Xenopus tropicalis: one gene and its partners. The protein of the gene in region 1 interacts with the protein of each later gene in a biochemical or structural test. Links are inferred from orthologs where the notes say so. Each region holds a gene or a part of one and is shown in the gene's direction. Other genes may lie near its edges.

Region 1 (7,627 bases):
TCCAAATTTGAAATAATTTTAAGTTAATATAAACCGCAGTAATTCAAATATTAGCAATCACGACTCATATCCAAAAATATACAGTGTACATAAAGCCTTCATCATGCTGGTATACAACAATTATATATCAGCAGTGCATAGAAACATGCAGCTATCAAGTCCTGGGGGATTTAAGTAAGTACAGTACAGGTTTCATTGGGTATTCAATGATTAAAAACTCTTTTTTGTGTCCTTATCAATTATGCCAACTTTGACTTTGGCTCTGGTAGGACCTGCTGAGGGTTGATGAATGGCACCTTCCCCAACTTGTCCACCTTTGCACCGTTGCTCCTGTGGTACAGAACTGTCCACTAGATTTCTGCCTAAAAAACACTCCTCTCAGTGTTACCTCGCCTGATTTGGCTATGATTCCTTTCTGGTGTACATTGGGTTCCTACACCTTCTGCTTCACTGTTGGTGGAAGAGGAAGTGGTGTCAGATTATCAATTGCCATAATAGGGTGCTACTACAGAAGGAGACCATGTGGATAGGCAGATTGGACACCCTGTCACCAAAGGGATTCAATGAAAACATTACCTATTCAGGCTTCTTCTACTGTAAATTTGGTCTAATTCTTTTGGTATACAGGATTTGAACATTCCTTTGTAATCTAGGTACTATTCATTGATGCATGATTTAATCTTTAAGTTTATTATGTACTTCTTCCTTTTAAGTGCACTGATTGGGTCTCTAATATGACTTGACTATTGGACTTAAATATGAACTGACTATGTGCCCCTATACTTTGATTTATGACAAAAAAATTTCTTTATGGAAGTAAGGAATTTGTATTTCTTCACTGTATGGTCACATATTTGGGGGGTGGGTTGGGGTGGGGCCTATCCCTTAAATACTGGCATTTGGTTACATGGTTGTAGAGAGCACTTGAAGAAGGGGGCAACCCATAAACGTTTGCTGGCTCTCTAAACATACAACAAATAGTTTTGAGTGCTCTATAGTTTGCACATCTTTATGTGCATTTTTTGAAATGCAATAGAACAGTGGCAGAGTTTTTCGGTATTTGAGAAAAAAACATGAACACAAATATACTCAAGAATTTATTTAAAGTTGTGATTTATTAAAGATAAAATGCAGGAAAAAAAATCCCCACAGATTATAATAGTCAAAATTTTCAGTTTGAACAGTGTGATTTTCATTTGTGTGAAAAATGCGACTGCAACTATATTTCTTTATTATGCTAGCGCTTGAAAATAAGAAAAAAACATGGTAGTAGAAAAATAAACTACACATTGTTTGCACATTGCTAAGCGAAGTGAGTGCCATTTGGATTTGTTTGTTTTAAGTGCAGATATTCTTCTATGAGTAGTTCCAAATGGAGCACCACATACATTTTGAAGAAGGATTTGCTCCACACACAAGATTTTGCTTGGTTTCTTTAGAGCACTCTGCAATAGCCTTTTTTTCTATTTGGCGGCAGTCCCAGAAAAATTATTTAATTTAGTTAATTGGGTCCTCCCAACTTGTTTGTCCTAATTATTTTTTTTTATTTTGGCACTAGAATTAATACACAACAAATTATTTCTGCACCACAGAACTACTAATATATTTATATATAAATTCTGCCTGGCATGAAAATGTACAGGGAAGCATGCCTTTAACTTGTATGAAATACAGGTTACATAAAGTGGATACCTAGTGCAGATAGGGTTAATATTCCCTGCCAGTTAGGTAATTAGGTGGCAGCTTAGAGCAGAACTTCTACTGCAGGTAAAAAGGTTGTTGTTCCACACCTATGGGCTCTTCCTTGGATGTCGGGAGAAGACAGGTCTATCCTGTGTGTCTGTGCATCTTTTGTGTAGCTGGTGTTTTTTTTAATGATGTCAACAGATATGGTCTGCTGCTTACCAGGCATGCTGATAGATTAGCAGCCATTGTCTTCTATTATGAGAATATTATGTGTCATTTTAAGTACAAAAATACTTGGATAAATTTACACAAAGATGCACCATTAGAGAAGACAATCAGAAATATGTCAAGTACTTTCAAGAAAACATAATTTCTGATCAAAAATTGGTACAAATTTTTTGTAATCGGACCTGTCTTACTTTAATGAATGTGCCCCTATGTGTGTTATGATCAGTTAAGGTCCCCATACACGCTACGGGCGGGCGATACCGGGGAGCGTTTAGGGCCAAACGATCGGATTATGTGGGCAGCAATGGGGCAGTCGGTTCGGGGACCGCATCAACGAGCCGATGCGGTCCCCGATCCGACTGAATTTTCTAACCTGGGCGATTGATATCTGCCCAATTTCAGGCCAGATATCGGTAGGCCAGGCCCCTCGGTTCTGCCCCTACACAGGCCGATAAGCTGCCAAATCAGTCCAAGGGACCCATATCAGCAGCTATAATCGGCCTTGTATGGGGACCTTTACAAAATTCTTTTGTTTAACAGGACTTAATATCTATCTGCTATCATTTCAGTTGAACTAAGTATTAATCTGTGTGTCGCTGACTCTTCGAGATAAACTGCTACCTGAGATTAAGGTATTATATAATCATAAAGGGTTTTAGGATAATTACGCCTCGGTAAAGCAGATCTGTGAGTTTGAGTTTTATTGCAATTCATATTACGTTCAATAAACGTGGATTAAACTAAAATAAAAATCTAGAATGATTACAATTTCACTTTGCCCTAGTTTGCACAAAACGTCTTCCCATTTGGGTCAGTTCGGGAGAGGTCTCTCTGATGGCACAAGCAGAAGCTCTGTACAGCCAATACAAATGATTTGTAAGGAGACTGGGAGCTAAGGTGCCACAAGCCATGGCGATAAACAACACAAAAGTCGTCTTTTCTGTTTTCAAACAATAGAAGGTGCGAGCAGAATAAGAACAGATTTTGATGAGAGAATGTACCGCAACCGAGCAGCACTTCCCTCTTATGTTACACCGATTGGCCACGCCCACTGGGCGGCTCCGTGTGCGTCACTGCGCTACGTGTAGTCGTAACGCTCGTCCTCTGTGAGGAGGCTGTAAGCATATTTGCAGGAGGTGTAAGTAGCGATATGGGTTTTATGTGTTTTTATTATGGGAGTGCAGGCTGTGTGTGGCCCTTAGCAGTTGCACATAGTGGGGCCTGTGCATTCTAGTTCATGAGGATTGTGTGCATCATTACAATATGCTTCTGTTTTCCAGGCTCGTCATGAAGGTTCGCTTGAAGTGCTGGAATGGCGTTGCCTCTTGGCAATGGGTGGCTAATGATGACAACTGTGGGATCTGTCGTATGGCATTTAATGGCTGCTGCCCTGAATGTGAGTGCTCAGAGGAGCATAGGCCTATGTACATGCCCTGTAATGGGGCTTACTACATGGCTTCATGGCCTGTGCCAGGGTTTCTATAGTCTGGAGCCCTTTACATTCTAATGAGGATCCCTTATGTTAGAACAGTTGTACATATTTAATCCGCTAGCACACAAGCCTGTGAGTGTTACATTGGAGATTCCTCGCTTCTTTACAAATGATTTTTGTTTCTCATTTTACTGTTTTTACTTGCTTGTTCTGAAGTAAGCAAGGCTGTAGGTATTCTGACTAATAGGGATATCCTAACATGACACCCTGCTATTCTGGCATTAGGTTTAAAATAAAGAACCACTTTAAAGGAGAAGGAAAGGCAAAGTCACTTGGGGGTGCCAAAATGTTAGGCACCCCCAAGTGACTTTAATCTCTTACCTTGTACCCCGGGCTGGTGCCCCTGTTAGAGAACAGCACCGGGGTAGCTGCAGCGCTTCCTTATTCTGCGGCAAATTCCCTGGCCCGGGGCATGCGCATTAGAGTGAAAAGCTGAACTTTAACAACAAAGTTCATCTTTTCACTCTAATTGCAGGGGGCAAACGCAGAAGAAGGAAGCGCTACAGCTACCCCGGGCTGGTGCTGTTTTCTCCTAACAGGGGCACCAGCCCAGGGTACAAGGTAAGCGATTAAAGTCACTTGGGAGTGCCTAACATTTAGGCACCCCCAAGTGACTTAGGCTTTCCTTCTCCTTTAAATCATTATGGCATCAAATAATATGTGGTTCCTTAAAGGAGAACTATACCCCTGGGCACAAAAAGCACCCATAACTATCACTGCCTAGACCCCCCCCCCCTCACCTCTCCCTTATCAAAGTTTTTAAGTTTAATGTCTGTCCCTATCTCTAACCAATAGCTAATAATGCAGAGGAGCGCAGCCGCCTACCTGCCCAACATCATCTTACTGACTGAAGACACTTTGGGTCTCTCCGCCGATACGAACCTGCTTGTGCATGCGCAGTTGGGGGTAACAGGAAATCCACTTCAACTGCACATGTGCAAGCAGGTTCGGTGTCTGCGGTGAGACCCAAAGAGTCTTCAGTCAGTAAGAAGGTGGTGGGCATTAAACTTAAAAACAATGTGATTAGGGAGAGTTGAAGGGGTCTAGGCAGTGATAGTTATGGGTGCTTTTTGCGCCCGGGGGGTATAGTTCTCCTATAAAAACATGCTGTTTCCTATGGCTTTATGCAGCTGACTTCTTTCTTGTCATGAGCAGGAGAGTCAAAAGAGCCTTAGGTGCCACTGATCAATATAAATGCAATTGGATCCAAGTAGGAAGCAGAGCTAGATAGGAGGGATGCTTGCCAACTGATGGAAGTTGTATTACAGCACAGGTAAACAACAAGGCAAGTAGGTAGGCAATGGGCAGACAGGGTAAACATGGCAAAGCAAGGCAGAGTGTACTATAATGCCTACAAGTAGTTAAAGGGATTGTTCAACTTTGAATTAACTGTTAGTATGATGTAGAGAGTAATATTCTGAGACAGTTTGCAATTGGTCTTGATTTTTTATTATTTGGGGTTTTTTAATTATTTCGCTTGTCCAGCAGCAATTCGGGTTGGGCTTTCAGTGGCTATATGGTTGCTAGGTCCCAATTTAACCTAGCAACCTTGCAGTGGTTTGAAAGAGAGATTGCAATATGAACAGAGGAGCCTGAATATAAAAATAAACAATAAAAAGTAACAAAAATAATAAAACTGTAGCCTCACAGAGCAATTGATTTTGACTGCTGGGGTCAGTGACCTCCATTTGAAAGCTGCAAAGAGTTAGCAGAAGGCATATCATTCAAAAACTATAATCTAAGAATAGACCATTCTATTACATACTAAAAGTTAACTTAATGGTGAACCACCCCTTATAACTTACTACTTCATATTATACAACACTGTTCTTCTCAGGACACCTATACGCCACTATACTTCAATGTCTCTCACTCTTGCCCTTGCAGGTAAAATCCCAGGAGATGACTGCCCATTGGTGTGGGGTCACTGCTCTCACTGCTTCCACATGCATTGCATCTTAAAATGGCTGAATTCCCAGCAGGTGCAGCAGCACTGCCCTATGTGTCGTCAGGAATGGAAATTCAAAGAGTGAAATGCAAAGATTTAGTTCCATGTAGTACCCATTAAGATTGTTATATCTCTTGTAAATATCATAGTTGTGCTTGTTCCCCCATGATCTTTTCCAATAAAAACAGTTATTACTGGATCATTTTTTTTAAATCTAAGTTGCACCATTGCTCCTGGCATGGCTATTGTTATTCAAATATTATGGCAGCTGAAGTCGCCAGAAAGGTGATCTATACACAGAACAGGATGGACCCCTTTGGAAGAAATACCATATTTCATAAAGTGTGCTGTTAACTAGGGATTGTTTCAACTACATACTGAGTCAGCCAAATGCTGGGATGTTTGCCAGTATACCAAATAGAAGCTTCGCTTTCATATTTAAATGTAATCTCAAGGGAAAGCATCTTCTCCTTTCAGTTGACACTTAATCAGTGTCACATCTAATTTCCTGCAGGCTGTGTGCGCAACAATGATCATTTGTACATTTTTAAAGAAACAAAAAAATACTATATTCTATGAATCTTTAAATTGTTCTTATACTCAAGAATGTTTTTTTTTGTTTTGTTTTTTTTTGTTTTGTTTTTTTTTAAACTGCCCCTTGCATGTAACAGAGCCAGGAGTGCAGAGAATATACCCAGGTAATAGTATTATTGTAATTTAGGATGAACAGTTTATTGAGTTCAACTTTTCTGTCTCTAAATGAAACCTTCACAACTGCTATATGATCCAGAAGGCTGAAAACCCTATCTCTAATATTCCACAGAGTGGAGAAATTTTTTTTTACTGACTCCCAAGTATTCCTGCATTTTATTACTTACTAAAAAGCCATCCAACCTATTCTTTTTTTTTTTCAGTACACCATTAACAAACAGTAACTGTCAGATCTAAGATACATTGGTCATCCTCTTGTAGACAATAATTTGATACTACCCAAGTTTGCTGAATAGGACTGGAACAACCAGCAACTGGTCAAACAATTTTAACATCTTATAGGAAGATATAAGTGAGGAGTTGGGGGATGGGGGAGGCAGGCTGTGGGGCGAGGGTCAGTAAATAACAGAGCACTTATACACTATTTCATATTGGGTGTTATTTTGGTCAGTGGCTGTTGCAAATTCATCTATCCTCAGGCCCCAGACTTTTTTATATTTATCTGGGCACCTCGTGCTCATATAGGTTAGCTTGTAAAGTTGGAGAGCTTCGTTAACCAAAAATTTCCAGTGTTTTAGGGTGGGGGCTGTGGCTAGTTTCCAGGATAGGATAATTGCTTTCCTGCCATTGAAGTACCGCAACACTTTTTTTTAAGCTAGCAAATGTATCTGGCAGTACGACTGATTCAGGGAGAAAATTCCACAACTTCACAGCTGTCGCTGTAGAAAAGCACAATTTGAATATTACGATGAAACCACCTTTTTTTCTAACTTCAGTGGATGCTCTTATGTTTGCTGGGACCGACTCTTAAATAAAGGATCAGAGATTTTATTATATGATATCTATATATATTTATACATAGTTTTTATTTCTCCCCTCAGACACATCTTCTGCAGGATAAACAGCCCTTACTTGGCCAGGTGTTTTTAATAACTGAGAATAAGCACACAATTTACCAGCTTAGTTGCCCTTTGTTGGGCTCTTTATAACTCAATAATATCCAATGTGAGCACTGAAGACCAAAACTGCATGGCATATTCTAGATGGGGCCTTACCGGTGATTTGTTTAGGGGAAGAATTACTCTCTACTGTAAACCTATACCCTTTTATACAGTCAAAAAATATTTTTTCTCCCTTGCAGCTGCTGCCTGGCATTGCTTGTTACATCCAAGTTTATTATCTCCAAGTCCATCTCCATCATTGTCTGCAACTTACAATGCTGTTTTGGCACCTCTTCCTGGATGGTTTAATAACACATCAAAGCTCTAATGCTAATGCAATTAACACCTTACCTTCGTGAGATCCCTGACACATTGCTGGTTATGTTAAACATATTATGCTGATTGGAGCATAAATTATGCATTTAGAGCTGAATCGCCAGGTGGAGGTAGAATCCCTATTGTTTCTACCTCAGTTGCTGATGATTCAGCCCTGAACGCCAATTGAGGGAAGATCATAATTGGTACGTGTATGGCCACCTTTATCCATGTGTGCCCCTACATAAATAGTGGGTCTTGGGAGATAGCTCTCAGTACAAGTGAGGGAATACAGGGGTATGGGAG
Region 2 (7,428 bases), about 8.2 Mb from region 1:
GAAATGGATGGAAGATAATTGCTGCTTATATACAGGTAATATATAGGTGGTGAGACGGGTGCTGCTGTGGATGGCTCACTGCTGAGAATACAAAAGGTTGTGATTTTAAAAAGGACTATTGCATACATATGCCCTTTTTCTGCCAATCCAGTATAGCAGGGCCAGCCTTAGGTCAATTGAACCTATTGGGCCCAATAGGGCCCCACTCCAGGGGGAGTAAGCACATAAAGCTGTCTATCCCGCCCCCAACAATAATTGCCCAATAATACTGTTATGTGTTCTGGGACATTAAACCCCCCCTTTCACTGTGTATAGTGTGTTGGAGGGACCAATCACTCTCTCTCGCTGTATGTAGTATGCTTGGCGTGTCAGTGCACAGTGCTTGGGGCCCACATTGTGCCATGAAATGTTGGGGGCCAATGGAACAAGAGAAAGTGGTGAAAAGGAAGGGTTACACCATCAGTCACATAGTAAGAGGCAGGAACTATTTACCCATACATTCCTGGAACCCTGTGCCAGCTGACAACACTTTGTGCAGGGGGCCCGCCAGAATGGTTCCAATTTGGCCTTGCAGTTTATAAGACCAGCCCTGCACTATAGGTGAGCTGTGTCTTTGTTTGCATTACAATTCCATCTACCATTATTTAGTGTATCAGGCATCATTCCAAACATTCCCAAACAGCACTCACTTGAGCTGGGAGCTCAACTAAAACCACATTGTTTGCACATTGCGAAATCAAGTGATTTCCATTTGGTAATATTTGGATTTATGTTCCCAATTCTTCTACAAATGGCAGAACTGCCAAATGGAGTACTACATACAAACAGTCATTAAAAAAAGTTTGGGAACCCCTCTTAATTCTTTGGAGTTTTGTTTATCACTGGCTGAGCTTTCAAAGTAGCAACGTCCTTTTAATATATATATATATATATATATATATATATATATGCGCCTTATGGAAACAGTAGTGACATAAAGTTTATTAGATTAACAGAAAATATGCAATATGCATCATAACAAAATTAGACAGGTGCATAAATTTGGGCACCCCCACAGAGATATTACATCAATACTTAGGGGCTGATTTACTAAGACACGAATTCCGACTGAATTGGAAAAATTCCGATTGGAAAACGAACATTTTGCGACTTTTTCGTATTTTTTGCGATTTTTTCGGCGCCTTTACGACTTTTCGGAAATTATCGCGACTTTTTCGTTACCAATACGATTTGCGCAAAAAAACGCGAGTTTTTCGTAGCCATTCCGAAAGTTGTGATTTTTTCGTAGCGTTAAAACTTGCGCGAAAAGTTTCGCTTTTTTCGTAGCGTTAAAACTTAAAAGGCGCGACGTTTTGCGCAAGTTTTAACACTACGAAAAAATCACAACTTTTTGCGCAAGTTTTAACGCTACGAAAAAATCACAACTTTCGGAATGGCTACGAAAAACTCGCGTTTTTCCGCAAAAATCGTATTGGTAACGAAAAAGTCGCGATAATTTTCCGAAAAAATCGCAAAATACCGATCATTACGAAAAAAACGCAATCGGACGCATTCGGCCTGTTCGTGAGTAAGTAAATGGGCCCCTTAGTTGAGCCTTCTTTTGCAAATGTAACAGCCTCTAGACGCCTCCTATAGCCTTTGATGAGTGTCTTGGTTCTCGATGGCGGTATTTTTGACCATTCACCCATACAAAATCTCTCAGTTAAATTTGATGCCTGTTGAGCATGGAAGTTTCCTCTCAACGCAACTTCTGCGATTTCAGTGAAATCGCGCCACCACGTATGCCATCCCACCGGCGATTTACACTTTCGCCGGTGGGATGGCATTTCTGGGAGATTAGTCGCCCGGGAACAGGGAGATTTGTCGCGGGCGACTAAGCTCCCCGTGTGCCAGAGCCCTTAGGAAAAGTTGGGGAAATTGCTTGTAGCATCAGGAGACTGGGGGAGGGACAGTGCAATTAAGTAACTACCCAGATTATAGGGGGAGTTGCAGAGCTGTCAACCTCCGATAGTCAAGGATGTGCAGTGTTATTTTTTCGTGCTAACCAGAAGTGATGTCAATACATGTGCATAACTGACCTTTGAAGCTGAAAAATTGTTGATTGCGCATATGCAAATGCTCACTATGTTGTCACTGAATGCACATGCATGAATTTAATGAGAAAAATCAGAATGCTATCAACAGACCAGAGACATGGGAGAGAAAGCCAAATTGGGTAACTCAGAAAAATATAGGGGGGTTGACAGCTCTGTGTAAGCACATATGGGGACTCTTCAGTGGAAGATTATTTTAGTTTCCCCCTTGCTGGACAGACTTTTACATGGGGTGGAAAGGGGTGGTATGACAGGAACAGTTTATGGCAACTACTCTGTAACATTAGAGAAGTACTGCTCTCCTTCTAATGACTTGACTGGGTTAGTTAACATCCTTGTTACAAGAAAACGTCAAACGATTGAAATTTGAGCAAAGGTATTTTATACTTTTCACGTCGTAATAAAAACAAAAAGTATAATAAAAAGTATAACTTCAAGATAATACTCTTTCCTGACAGAACTTTCCCACACACGTATTATTTATTTATTTATTTATTTTGATAGGCAACGGAATTCTTCCAATCACAATAAAGCATAGCAGTCTACTTTAGCCAATCCCGTACCTTTGTTTAAAACGCCTACGCTTCCGACACCAAACTTGCCAGTCTCTGCGGAAACCGTTCTGTGAGCATTCCGATTGGTTAAATTAAATATTTAAGCGACGCTGATTGGACGCTTTGTGTAGAAGTTAAAAATTTCAAATAGAGGGCGGTAGGTTTAGTTACAGAATTAAGAGGAAGCGTCAAAGATCTCTGGGAGTGGAAGCCGGATACTCAGCAACGTTCAAGGCCCGGTTTTTGTCATTTTTACATACCGATGGCTTCACAGAATGTGGATCCAGCTGCGGCCAGCTCGGTGACTGCAAGGAAAGGACAAGAGTCGGGGACCTCGGCCGCCCGTGGCTCTGTGGGAAAGAGGTGAGGAGAGCCGGCTCTTGGGAACAATGGCCGCTGTGCTTATGGCGATGGCAGTGTAGCTGGATCTTGGCACACCCTCTGTATAATTCAGATGGGTCACTTGAGATATTTTGCTATCAAATTTTATTCAGCTTATAGCAGCTATATCTCTGTTTTCTAAACTTCATTCATTTTACGTATCTCTTCCACTGCTTAGTTACAATATACAGGTTTTCTCTACTCCCTTTAATATCCGCTACATTGTCTACAGTGTCACATCCTGTTTTTGGTCCAGATCTGTGGCTGCCATGGTTAGTAAATTGTTCTGATCCAGCTTGCAGTCAAATGAGTTTAGAGTTTAGTGTCAGTTCTAAAACCAGTCCAAAAGTCTGAAAGTAGCCCAAAAATAGGCCAAAATGTGCAAGTATATATGGGAAACATGCCTTTTTAAAGCGTATAATCACTACCCAGTTACTGGGAATGCTGATAATTCCCTGACCTCTGTGCCCAGTCCAGCTGGGAAGACTACAAAATTAGATTCCGAATGTTGCATTAACCCCAGACATGAGATACATATGGGTGTGCTGAACTACAACTCTCAGCAGTCCCAAGATATCCGGAGAGTTATATCTTAATGATCAACTGCAGAACTGCCCCCACATCACAGCAGAAAGTAATAGTACAATCACATACCCTATAGAGCAGGTTGCAGAATATACAGGTTGACCCTGAAAGAGCAAAAAGGAATACAAAACAGAGCCTCTATCTATACTGTCCAATTGCATGCTGGGTATTGTAGTTTTATATTAATCCTAACTGTAGATTAAGGCTCCAAAAAATAGCCCCAAACTGTTCCTTGGTGGGTTTGTACCTTGGAAACCTGCCAGGGCTTTAAATTGGTAGCCCAATTTTGCAGAAACACCAACCTGGCAACTCTGCTGCAAGTGTGGCCATTAAGGAAAGCACCATTGACTTGGGGAGGGGGGTAGGCAATATGTAAGACACCCCCACCCAATGGCTGTAATTGCTTAAAGCCTTAAACAAAGGTAGTGTTATTTTACATGCCATCCCAGGCAGACTTCAGCTGCTAATTTGGCCACTTCAGACCTAGTCTGTAGCTTATCTGCCTATGTATGGGGCCTTCAGACTGTCTGAAACTGGATCAGACATTGATAATGCACTGACTTGGTGTGCCATTCACTGGGGTGGGGGGGGGGGGTTGCAGTCATGGTCCTGTAGCCAGAGGGTGTTTGGGGTAAAGGATTCTGGTCTAAATCTAGAATAATAAAATCATATGTCTAAAGGTGGCCACACACCTTTTTGAGATGGGTCAGTCTATCGGACTGGACGACCTTTTGGCTAACAAAGTGTAGTATCGAAATGAGAAACACTTGGTCCTCTGGCCTTTAGGTTGTCAGGCGGAAGCTTGATGAAAGCAGAGGAGCTGTGTTCCCATAAGGGAATGCCTGACATATTTTAGTTGGGGACTTTGCACATGCACCTTCTGCTTAATTATGCTTAACTTAATTTGCCCTGGCAATTAGGACGGCGGGAGGCATTTTTCTTTTTGGCCGCCAGCTGGAGCCTTACCAAGGCAATCCATGGCATTGCACTCGCACACTTCAGCACCTGTCTTGTTTGATTTGTGCACCATGGATTGGTGTCATAGTCCTCTGGGTTTGACCCCAGGCCAAGACCTGATGGGTCTCACACTAGCTTCGGCAAAGGTGGACGTACCCGCCCATGCTGTTCATTGGTGAAAGCCTTGGACACATGAGCATTGGAGCCCAAGCCTTCACATAGGACTCACGCAATGAGTCAATATTATCATCAGCCTGGTGGAGCATGCACAGAAGAGGAACTGGAGATTTTGTTCATTAGAGTGCGTGTCACTGTTGACCTCCAGATTCCCTTCCCTGTATAAAACCATCAGCAAATGGCAACCTTAGTTTATGGTTGCTATAGCTGCCTGCTGATTGTGATTGCACCGATCTGCAATCTTTGTTTTCTCCAGTGATGGTTCTGTCTTCTCCCACTTCCCCAGCTGCCTGCTACTGCGCAGAAATGGCTAAATTGGCTAAATATTTAAGTTCATTTCTAGTATGTTATAGAAAGGCAAATTATAAGCAGCTTTTCAAGTGGTCTTCATTTATTTTTTTTTATAGCTTTTGCCTTCCAACTCTTTGCAGCTTTCAAATAGGGGTCACTGACCCCAGCAACCAAAAAACTATTGCTCTGTGAAGCTACAGTTTAATTGTTGTTGTCAGATTATATTTCTCTATTCAGGTGTTCTCCTTTTCAAATCAGTCTTTCATTCAAATCACACCCTGGCTGCTAAGGTAATTTGTATCCTAGCAACCAAATAGCTGCTGAAACTCCAAGCTGAAAAGCAAAAGCTGAAATAATCTACAAATTTGCAATTGGTCTTCATTTTTAATTCTCAGAATATTACTATCTACATTATACTTAAAGTTAACTCAAAGATGGACAGCTTCTTTAAGATGTAATGGAAGGCAATATGGTGGCCGCAAGTTCAGCTGGCCAGAATAGTTTAAAGCCCAAACAGGGATAAGGTATGTATTGTGTTTAAAAAAAAAAAAAAAAAACTTGGCTATTAGGTTGAGAAAATGTAGATCAAACCAATGGTGACTAGTTAGAGGGTTAACTTGTCCCTCTATGTGCAACAGAACCAATTGATAAATCTCCCCTATATTCATATAAAGCACATTAATACCAAGTGAAGCATAACATCTCAGCTGGTAGATATCCATTATTTACCCATATTGTCTATGACCATAATATTCCAATTCTAAATCACTTAGTCCTTTTGCCATTGCTATAATTTTATTAGCAAAATTACTCTTTGCCCCTTATTTTTACTACCAGTTACTTAAGGAAGCCTATCAATTATGTATACTTATTGTCAATAGCCATAAATATTGTACCGTGAGGCATCCATTATTTATTGCTGCTGTCCATAATGCTGCCTTTATCCCTCCATGGCGAATGCTAGCATCTGTCTCCATTATTTTGGGCTTAACAAGTAAGTTATTAACATTCAAAAAGCCTAATGTCTAGTGACTCTTCTTCCCTTCTGCCGGGATCTGCTGTTCTTAGAGGGCCATGCATGAAAAGATTGCCTGCCAAAGACTGCCACACCCATAGCAAATTCTTATTGTGAGTGTGATTTGTAGCAAAGCTTAAGTGCCCACCTATTTTCTTTCTTCTCTCGTAGGTTACAGCAGGAGCTGATGACCTTAATGGTGAGTGTAAACTTTATGTGCATACAATGAGGATAGTACTTGTGCTTTATACTTTTTAAAGGGAAATTCTGACTTACCAACCAAAGTTTTGTAAGAGCCACACACAACACCAAAACTCTTAATATATATCACTGTAATATGTTCCTTCAAAAAATGAATATAACTTTTATATGCTGAAAGCCATCTGCAAAACAGTTCCTTGCATCATTTGAAATCCTGGCAGGGGAGAAGGGACTAAAACATTGATGTTACAAATTGTAACAACTTTCCAAATTTTACAGACAGCATGTGGAAACTACATAATCCACAATGCATTGCACCGTGGCGTTCCTTTCCTTAATGACATGTTTGCAGGGAATTGTGGGATTTAGAGGATGCAGGCGGTGGAGAGTCAACTACTGTTTTATTTAAATCTCACATTTGTCTGCCAGATCATTAGGAGAACAGGGGGCAAGGCTTATGGAGCCATTCCAAACCATGTTACATTAAAATTCATGAAACTGCTGTGTTTTAAGTTGATCTATATTGCAAAGTTGCTTGAAATTGTTTACTTTTTAAAAAGCTTGTTTTGTATGGGTGGAATTCCCCTTTTAATAAGCTGTTGAGGGTTTTAGGAAACTTGATCTTGTATGTTTTTTCTCCCCTAGATGTCTGGGGATAAGGGAATTTCTGCATTCCCGGAGTCTGATAACCTATTTAAGTGGATTGGAACCATTGATGGCGCAGTCGGCACGGTAAGGCTTCATGACACATTTTGAAAGCTGCTGCCCTTTCAGGGACACCTGATCAAAACCCTTGCCTTCCTTAGTTGCTTTCCATGCATTCGCAGATGAAGCCCTGCCAAATGGTGATTGCCAAGGAATGTAGAAACAACTAATACCTACCAGGCAGAGGTAGTGTGCTGTAGACTTTGCACGCAATCCACAGTTCTTGCCTCTCATCAGCTGCTTTCCATTAATTTAAAAGTTAAAAGCAATGACTGAATTATCTTGTTGAGGTATATTAAGGAGTCTTATGTTGGATATTCTGCGCTAATAAAATTTCTCAATTTTTGTAGGTATATGAGAGCCTGCGCTATAAGCTGTCCCTGGAATTCCCTAGTGGCTACCCTTACAATGCTCCCACTGTGAAATTTGTTACACCATGCTTCCATCCAAATGTAGATAGTCATGGAAA
Region 3 (7,478 bases), on another chromosome or scaffold:
TCAGGCACTGTTTGACACTCTCTCCTGTCTTCCAGTCCTCACTCCCAACTATCCCTCCGTACCTTACCAGTGGCAGTTACTGATTGAGTTGAGTGGTCACACTCCAGCGCGGCTGGACCTAGTGAGACCTGGTCATTGGGCACAAAAGCAGAGAACATATTCCCCAAATCATTCCCTAACAATACATCGACAGGAATCTCATTGGACACTCCCACTTCCCTTAGACCTCTCCTCACACCCCAATCCAAGTACACCTTGGCCACAGGCACCTTTGGGTGGTCGCCACCCACCCCCTTTACAGACAAAGTCTTCCCAGGAATAATGTCCCTAGTGTTGATAATCTCTGGACGCACCAGAGAAAAATTGGACCCTGAGTCTCTTAGGCTTAGGTTTTTGCTAGTTCAACACCAGGTGGATTCACGGCCTCTGGACAGTCGACATCTGAGGCTCTGCCCCTATGCTCCTAACTGCTTCCTAATGTGCCTGCACCTGGGGGTACTCTTTCGGCCTGGGTGCAGGCATATGGATCAGGTTTCACTGAGAAACTGCATACTTCATGCCAAAATCAGCAGCCCCGTGTAGCCTGATGCAATGACTCCGGGTGCAGGCATATCAGTAAGATCAAACCTCCCAACATTTGAAAAATGAAAAGTGGGACAAAAAGATTTGGCGCGCACAGCGCGGCAAATTTCTTTGACCACGCCCACTTTTGTGGCCATGCCCCAATTGCCCCATTTTTTTTAAAAAAAAATACTTATTTTATATAGTTGAAATGGTGGGATTAGACACAAAATGTGCTTTACCCTCATACAGTACTACCTAAGGAAAACAATATAGCAACTCCTACATATAAAATACAAATATAGAGAGAAGGCAGTCAGTTATACATGAGTTATAACTATGTACCAGTTTTGCACCCCCCCTTAAATAGTTCCCCCAATGGCCCAATAGACAGTACCCCCCATACACAGTGCCCCCATAGACAGTACCCCCCATAGAAAGTGCCCCCAATTGCCCCATGGACAGTACCCCCAAAGAAAGTGCCCCCATACACAGTATCCCCATAGGAAGTACCCCCCATACACAACCCCCATAGTAAGTTCCCCCAATTGAGACAGTACCCCCCATACAAAGTGCCCCCAATTGAGACAGTACCCCTCATACACAGTGCCCCCCCATAGACAGTACCCCCCATACACAGTGCCTCCTTCTTCTTCAGCGGCTCCTCTCCTTATGCGGCTTCTTATACGGCGGCGACAGGCCCTTTTATAAGGTTGTGCCCCGTGCGTATGTGTGACGTTAATACGCACGAGGCGCAACCTTATAAAAGGGCCAGTCACCACCGCACAAGAGGCCGCATAAGGAGAGGAACCGCTGAAGAAGGAGCACCTCCCACTGAAATAAAGTGCCCCCATAGACAGTACCCCCCATACACAGTACCCCCCATACACAGTACCCCCATAGGAAGTACCCCCCATACACAACCCCCCATAGTACATACACAGTGCCCCCATAGGAAGTACCCCCCATACACAACCCCCCATAGTAAGTTCCCCCAATTGAGACAGTACCCCCCATACACATTGCCCCCAATTGAGACAGTACCCCCATACACAGTGCCCCCAATTGAGACAGTACCCCACATACACAGTGCCCCCCCATAGACAGTACCCCCCATACAGTGCCTCCTTCTTCTTCAGCGGCTCCTCTCCTTATGCGGCTTCTTATACGGCGGTGACAGGCCCTTTTATAAGGTTGTGCCCCGTGCGTATGTGTGACGTTAATACGCACGAGGCGCAACCTTATAAAAGGGCCTGTCACCACCGCACAAGAGGCCGCATAAGGAGAGGAACCGCTGAAGAAGGAGCACCTCCCGCTGTCACGGATACTTCAATGAATGTCCAGCATTTCCGTAATCTATTACGGAAATGCGGGACATTCATTGACCTATCCGGGACAGCGGGATGCGCTATTAAAACCGGGACAGTCCCGTGGAAAGCGGGACAGTTCGGGGGTATGGTAAGATCTTTACCCCCATATGTAATGAAAGGCACTAAGTTTACCCATTAGCAGTAACCCATAGCAACGAATAAGATGTTTGCTTTTAAACAGGTGACCAGTACATTTTATTTGCTGGTTGGTTGCTATGGGTTACTGCTCCTGGGCAAACATAGTGCAATTAACTACATAATCCCTTTACAGAGCTGTCAGCTATGTTAGCAGGGGGAATTGGAGCCTGAAAATTTGTTCCTGCGCCCTAAATTCATCACTGAACTTTGTTTGACTTCCTCAAAATCGGGAGAATCCTGCTGGGGGACAAGTGACCAGGGAAGAATCTTCAAAATCAGGTAACTCTTGAAGAAATGGGGGGGGGGGGGGGAGGTTGACAGAGCATAGGGGTGGATTTGTGTGGCACTAGCCTTATATAGGCCCTCTACCGTTTATATTCTATTATCTCTTCAACATAGCTTTCTGATTGGTATGGGGGGAAAAAATTCAACAACCACAATGAATAAAACATGCAAACCAATTACAAATTGTCTTTTAATTTTACTGTCTGCATCTTAAAAATATAAAAATTAAAGTTAAAACCCCACTAAACAAACTTTTAAACATGCAAATATATAGAAGCCACATTTATGCAGAGAATACTATAGAAATCTTTGAGTGTATTGTATCCAAACGTGGAGAAAAACGTGTCTGTAGTTTTGCAACTGCCTTCCCCTTTCACAACGATTCATGATATCAAAGCCGTTAGTAAAAGGGCGGGGAGCTTTACAGGTCTTCAGCCAATGGGAAGACAACTTTGTGTTTAAAAGCCGCAGGACTGGGTGCTGCACGGTCAAGTCTTTGAGAAGTATTTTCAGGTGACGGCTACTAGACGCGGCTTCTCTGTTTTGTGGGTGGCTACTGATTCTGATTTCTAGCTGGCCTTGTTTGGTAACCGCAAGAAGTTACAGGTAGTTGTGGATGCTTGATTAAATTTCACTTTCCCAGCCTGGTGCTTTGATGTTCTTTACTCTTACCGTAAGTCACGAGGCGAACCGGCGTTACTTTCTTGGTCCGTGAGCAAGCGTAACGTTGTGTCGTGTGTTGCCTTTGCGCTGGCGGGTAAAGGCCGTTTGTGTGTGTGTTTTTTTTTGTTTTTTTGTTTTAACTTGCAGTTCTGTGTAGTGGCGTATATCTAGCCAAATCTATTGTCTGTAAGTTTAACTGTACTGCTTATGACTCTTGTCCCTAGAGACATCCAGTGACTGAAGTGGGGATGCAGTAAACGAGGGTTTTTTTTCTCTCCCACCCTACACCCAATCCCATATTTTATTGATTACAGCACAGCTTTGAATTATGTATTCCGATTGAGTGTTCTTAAAGGGCAAGAAACCATAGACTCAGGGGGCACTAATGTTATGTACCCCATGAATTGTAGTTGTTTGTTCATTGCCCTGTTCTTCATTTACGTGAAAATAGCTCTGTGCCACATTATACCTTTTCCAAATGGCTCCCTAGACTTTCATAAAATGAATTTTTTTTAATTTTTTTTTTTGCGCTTATGGTACATGGCTAGACAAACATCTAGCTTTTTGACCTCTTACAAGACACAAAGCTGAATATTTTCTACTTTGCACTTTCTTGCATTTTGTCTCTTATGGTACAGGTATAGGACCCATTATCCAGAATGCTCGGGACCAAGGGTATTCCGGATAAGGGGTCTTTCCGGAATTTGGATCTCAACACCTTAAGTCTACTAAAAAATCAATAAAACATTAATTAAACCCAATAGGGTTGTTTTGCATCCAATAAGGATTATTTATATCTTAGTTGGGATCAATTACAAGGTACAGTTTTATTTCTACATAGAAAAAGGAAATCCGTTTTACAATTCTGAATTATTTGATTATAATGGAGTCTATGGGAGATGGGCTTTCCGTAATTCGGAGCTTTCTGGATAACGGGTTTCCGGATAAGGGGTCCGATACCTGTACTAATGTCTAGCTTTGTATTGTGTTCTAGAGATTATTCCCACTGCAATCCACCTTGTCCTACACAAGGGGGAATTCACAAAAGTGGTGATAATGAGACAAAATAAAAGTGGAGGGAGATTTGTTGGATTTTCCACCTAACTCTCAAATCTCTATCTCCACTTTTGTGAATTTGTTTTTTAAACAGGCAGCTTTCAGATTTTGTCCTTTTGCCAACATTTTATAAATTTGCTTTTAGCTCTTCGTAAATCTGTCGTCATCAAACCCAGTCCCACAGCTACATGAACCATGGAATAAGGATTTTGCCAGCAGTATTTGTCATTTCATTTTGGGGGTATTTCCTGAAGGGAAACTATACATCATTTTCAAGACAAGCTGGGCTTTCTAATGTGTTCTATATTTGTGTAATTCCACTTCTGTAACAAGATTTAAGGGTCTAAATAGCTTCTTCTCTAGCCCCTACTGACCAGCAGCAACATGCTTGGTAAAAAGGGGCCCAACTGGACTAAGACCCACCAGGTTTTTATCCAGGGCCAGTCCAACCCCAATGTCCCAGTTTGGGTGCCAGTGTGTATGTGCTATTTTCTGATCACCAAGATGGCAGCTGGGAACAGAAGGGGCACAGCTAAAGGTGGGGGCCAATGCAGCTCTGTAGTTCTGGACATGCTATGAGGGCTCAAGTTAGTTGCAACAAGTGTCAGTGAAGTGATTAAAGAGGGGGGCACTGCTGCTAAAAATTTGCCTGGAGGCTTTACTTTTCCTTTAAATAAAAATGTATACAATGTTATTATTGCCTCATTGATTAAGCTAAAACAAGCATAATCATGCAAATGCGAGGGGGGGGGGAATGAAACATATGTGCAGTATGAAGCAAGGAGGGAAAGGAAGGGAGAATACCTTTTTTAAAGATGGCTGCCTGTTCAAGAAAACAATGTGAAGTAAGTGTGACTCAGTAAATATTTGATTAGGTGAGCCAAAAGTGTGGCGGTTTTACTAAACAATAGGAGGACTATTGGGCAGTATGCTTTTTATATTTTGACTTGCATTCTCCTTTAAAGTTTGGTGCATCCTCTTCAATTATTTCCTTTTTAAAATGGGTTTTTCATGAAATTTCTCTGAATTCTCTGGTTCCTCCTAAGGCTAATGCCACATGAGCATTTTCTCGGCAAGCCGAAGAATGCTTGCTGAGAATACGCCCCGCTACTGTAAATTTAGCCTACCTTGTGCCTGCACCCAAATGAATGGAATGGCCTCTGGTGCAGGCACATGTGGCAGATATCCGCGTAAAAATGTGAGCCTTCGTATTTTCGTCGGATATCGGCTACATGTGCCTGCACATTCATTCGGATTGGGGCGCAGGTAGCAGCGTATGGCTTTATTTTTGGCAAGCGTTTTTTGTCTTGTCAAAAATATACGCCATAAGCGAAGTGCCATTGTCCTAAACCATTGGGGAGGGGTTGGTCTTTTTAATTTGGAAAGCAAATGCATTATTTATTTTTTAAATAATTATCCCAATGAAAGCAAAAAATTCATAGGTTGTCCTGGGTTACTGCCCAGGTGCACATTTGCCCACTCTTTACAAATGAGCCTCTAATTATATTGACCTAAACATGAGTGGAACACCATTATGCAGGACAGTTATTGGTGCACTGGTAACTGTTTTTGCAAGAACCTAACCTGAAACAGCTTTGGTTTTCCTGTTTAAGTGAGGAAATGTTTTAATGTGATTAAAGTAGGCAAGTGTGTTCAGCACAAGCCTTGTTGTTTAAACTGTTTGAGTAAAGGCATATACTTCTCAAATTTTGTAAAGTAATATAATGTGGATCATAATGTTTTATCTAGACCTTGTGGACCTCTGTGTGACTGTTTGCATGCTAAAACCTTTGTATTATGACTAGGTTTCATGCTTGGCAAGTGTAATTCCTACAGCCCAATTGGAACTTTAATGGCAGGTCACATGGTTTGGTAGCTTATTGTTTATATAGCTACTACAGTACTGTTTTTATTGGTGCCAGACTAACTGTACAGACTGTAAATCGTAAGTCACTGAAGTAACTTGATAAAGAAATTGTAGCTTATAACTTGCTATAGAATTAAACAATTTTTTAATTGGTATTGAGTTATTTACCATTTGCCAGTTATCTGATGGGGGTCACTTGCACCAGTAACCAAATGTTCTGCTATTTTATACAGTCTTATTACCCTAGCAACCATAAACTTGTTTAGAAATTCCTTGAATATTCCTGTCTCAGTCTGTCTATGTAAAGGTGAACTGCTCCTTTAGTAGTAATGACCACTTTGCCATCTGTCATTTCTAGCTTGTTGGCTAAATTCTAAATACCCTGACTAGCCCCTAGTGGTGATTGCACTAATACTGCAGGTGTATTCCTGATTGCTTGACCTGCAACTGCACCAACAGCAATTACCAGTCTAGGATATGCAAGGGGTAATTTGAACATTTTTCCACCTGTGAGCTGTAAATCATGTGGGTGGCAAAACAGACACCAATAAAAAAAAAAATAAAAACATTTTTTTGGCAGACTAAGTGAGAATTTTATTCAGAGCTATACTGTGTTCTTAGAATCATAATGTCTGTAAAGCTTAATCTTTAAGATTGGATGGCAACTGACTGTAGTTTTTATGCTTTTAGCAAAATGGCAACTATAGTTTTTGTCGATCAAGAGAATGGTGATATTCGCAGCATGTTGCCTAAAGATCATGGAACATTCTTGAGCTGTAAGTATCTTGCCAGAACTGTAGCACACTTGGACTTGCATGGTTCAATTAATGGGGGGGGGGGACATAATCCATGGTAATAAGCTTGCTGAACATGTGGAGATATATATATATATATATATATATATATTAAAACAAAGGGTATAGCCGCAGTGACTTTACAGTTTGCAGGCCTTTTGGCATTCAGATACAGGATGTACTCATGGTTTAAACTTGCATGTTACTGGTCTAAATGCACAATTGCTGTCAGATATTGTCCAAAGGATTGACAGTCCTTTTGGCTCTTGTTTCATTTAAGGGAGACATATTGGGCTAAACATTAATCCTATCTCTAAAAATGGCCCCTTTATTGGAGCTCCCTATAGATCAATATGTTCTTCGTCCTTGTTTCAAATGAAGGGTGGGTGTGTTCTGTCCTAAAAGTCCCTGCCAAAAGCAGAGTCGGAGGGGGATAGCCAATTTCAGCCCTGCAGTCAAGCAAAGACTTATGTGCCAATTTCTTTGGTGTGAGATATTTATCCAAACACTAGTGAGAATTGCTTTAGGGGATGCTCTATACCAGGGAATATACATGTCCACAAGCAACTAGATATTGGATATGGGTATATAACAGGGGTGGGCAAACTTTTTGGCTCACGGGCCACATTTACTCACCCCAGGGCGGGCAGGGCCAGCGTTATGCCCCCTTCGTCTCTTTAATTCCGGCCCGCCAATGACACCAAGTCTCGCGTGATGAGACTTGGCGTTGTCGGCGGGCCGGAT

Evidence for each region. The genes of interacting proteins can lie anywhere in the genome.
Region 2: the proteins of anapc11 (region 1) and ube2c form a complex in vitro, tested with the Homo sapiens proteins (66 studies listed by BioGRID). The link is inferred for Xenopus tropicalis from reciprocal best matches to the Homo sapiens genes ANAPC11 and UBE2C.
Region 3: of the proteins of anapc11 (region 1) and securin, one has a biochemical effect on the other in vitro, tested with the Homo sapiens proteins (3 studies listed by BioGRID). The link is inferred for Xenopus tropicalis from reciprocal best matches to the Homo sapiens genes ANAPC11 and PTTG1.

What each region holds. Positions count from the first base shown.
Region 1 is NC_030686.2:27,900,987-27,908,613, forward strand, and holds anapc11 (anaphase-promoting complex subunit 11), read left to right. Parts: upstream 1-3,028; 5' UTR 3,029-3,052; intron 3,053-3,194; 5' UTR 3,195-3,201; coding exon 3,202-3,310; intron 3,311-5,293; coding exon 5,294-5,439; 3' UTR 5,440-5,553; downstream 5,554-7,627. UniProt on the Homo sapiens protein: Together with the cullin protein ANAPC2, constitutes the catalytic component of the anaphase promoting complex/cyclosome (APC/C), a cell cycle-regulated E3 ubiquitin ligase that controls progression through mitosis and the G1 phase of the cell cycle.
Region 2 is NC_030686.2:19,652,825-19,660,252, forward strand, and holds the start of ube2c (ubiquitin-conjugating enzyme E2 C), read left to right. Parts: upstream 1-2,776; 5' UTR 2,777-2,909; coding exon 2,910-3,010; intron 3,011-6,224; coding exon 6,225-6,252; intron 6,253-6,899; coding exon 6,900-6,986; intron 6,987-7,309; coding exon 7,310-7,428. UniProt on the Homo sapiens protein: Accepts ubiquitin from the E1 complex and catalyzes its covalent attachment to other proteins. In vitro catalyzes 'Lys-11'- and 'Lys-48'-linked polyubiquitination.
Region 3 is NC_030680.2:46,746,716-46,754,193, reverse strand, and holds the start of securin, read left to right. Parts: upstream 1-2,826; 5' UTR 2,827-2,960; intron 2,961-6,630; 5' UTR 6,631-6,634; coding exon 6,635-6,716; intron 6,717-7,478. UniProt on the Homo sapiens protein: Regulatory protein, which plays a central role in chromosome stability, in the p53/TP53 pathway, and DNA repair. Probably acts by blocking the action of key proteins.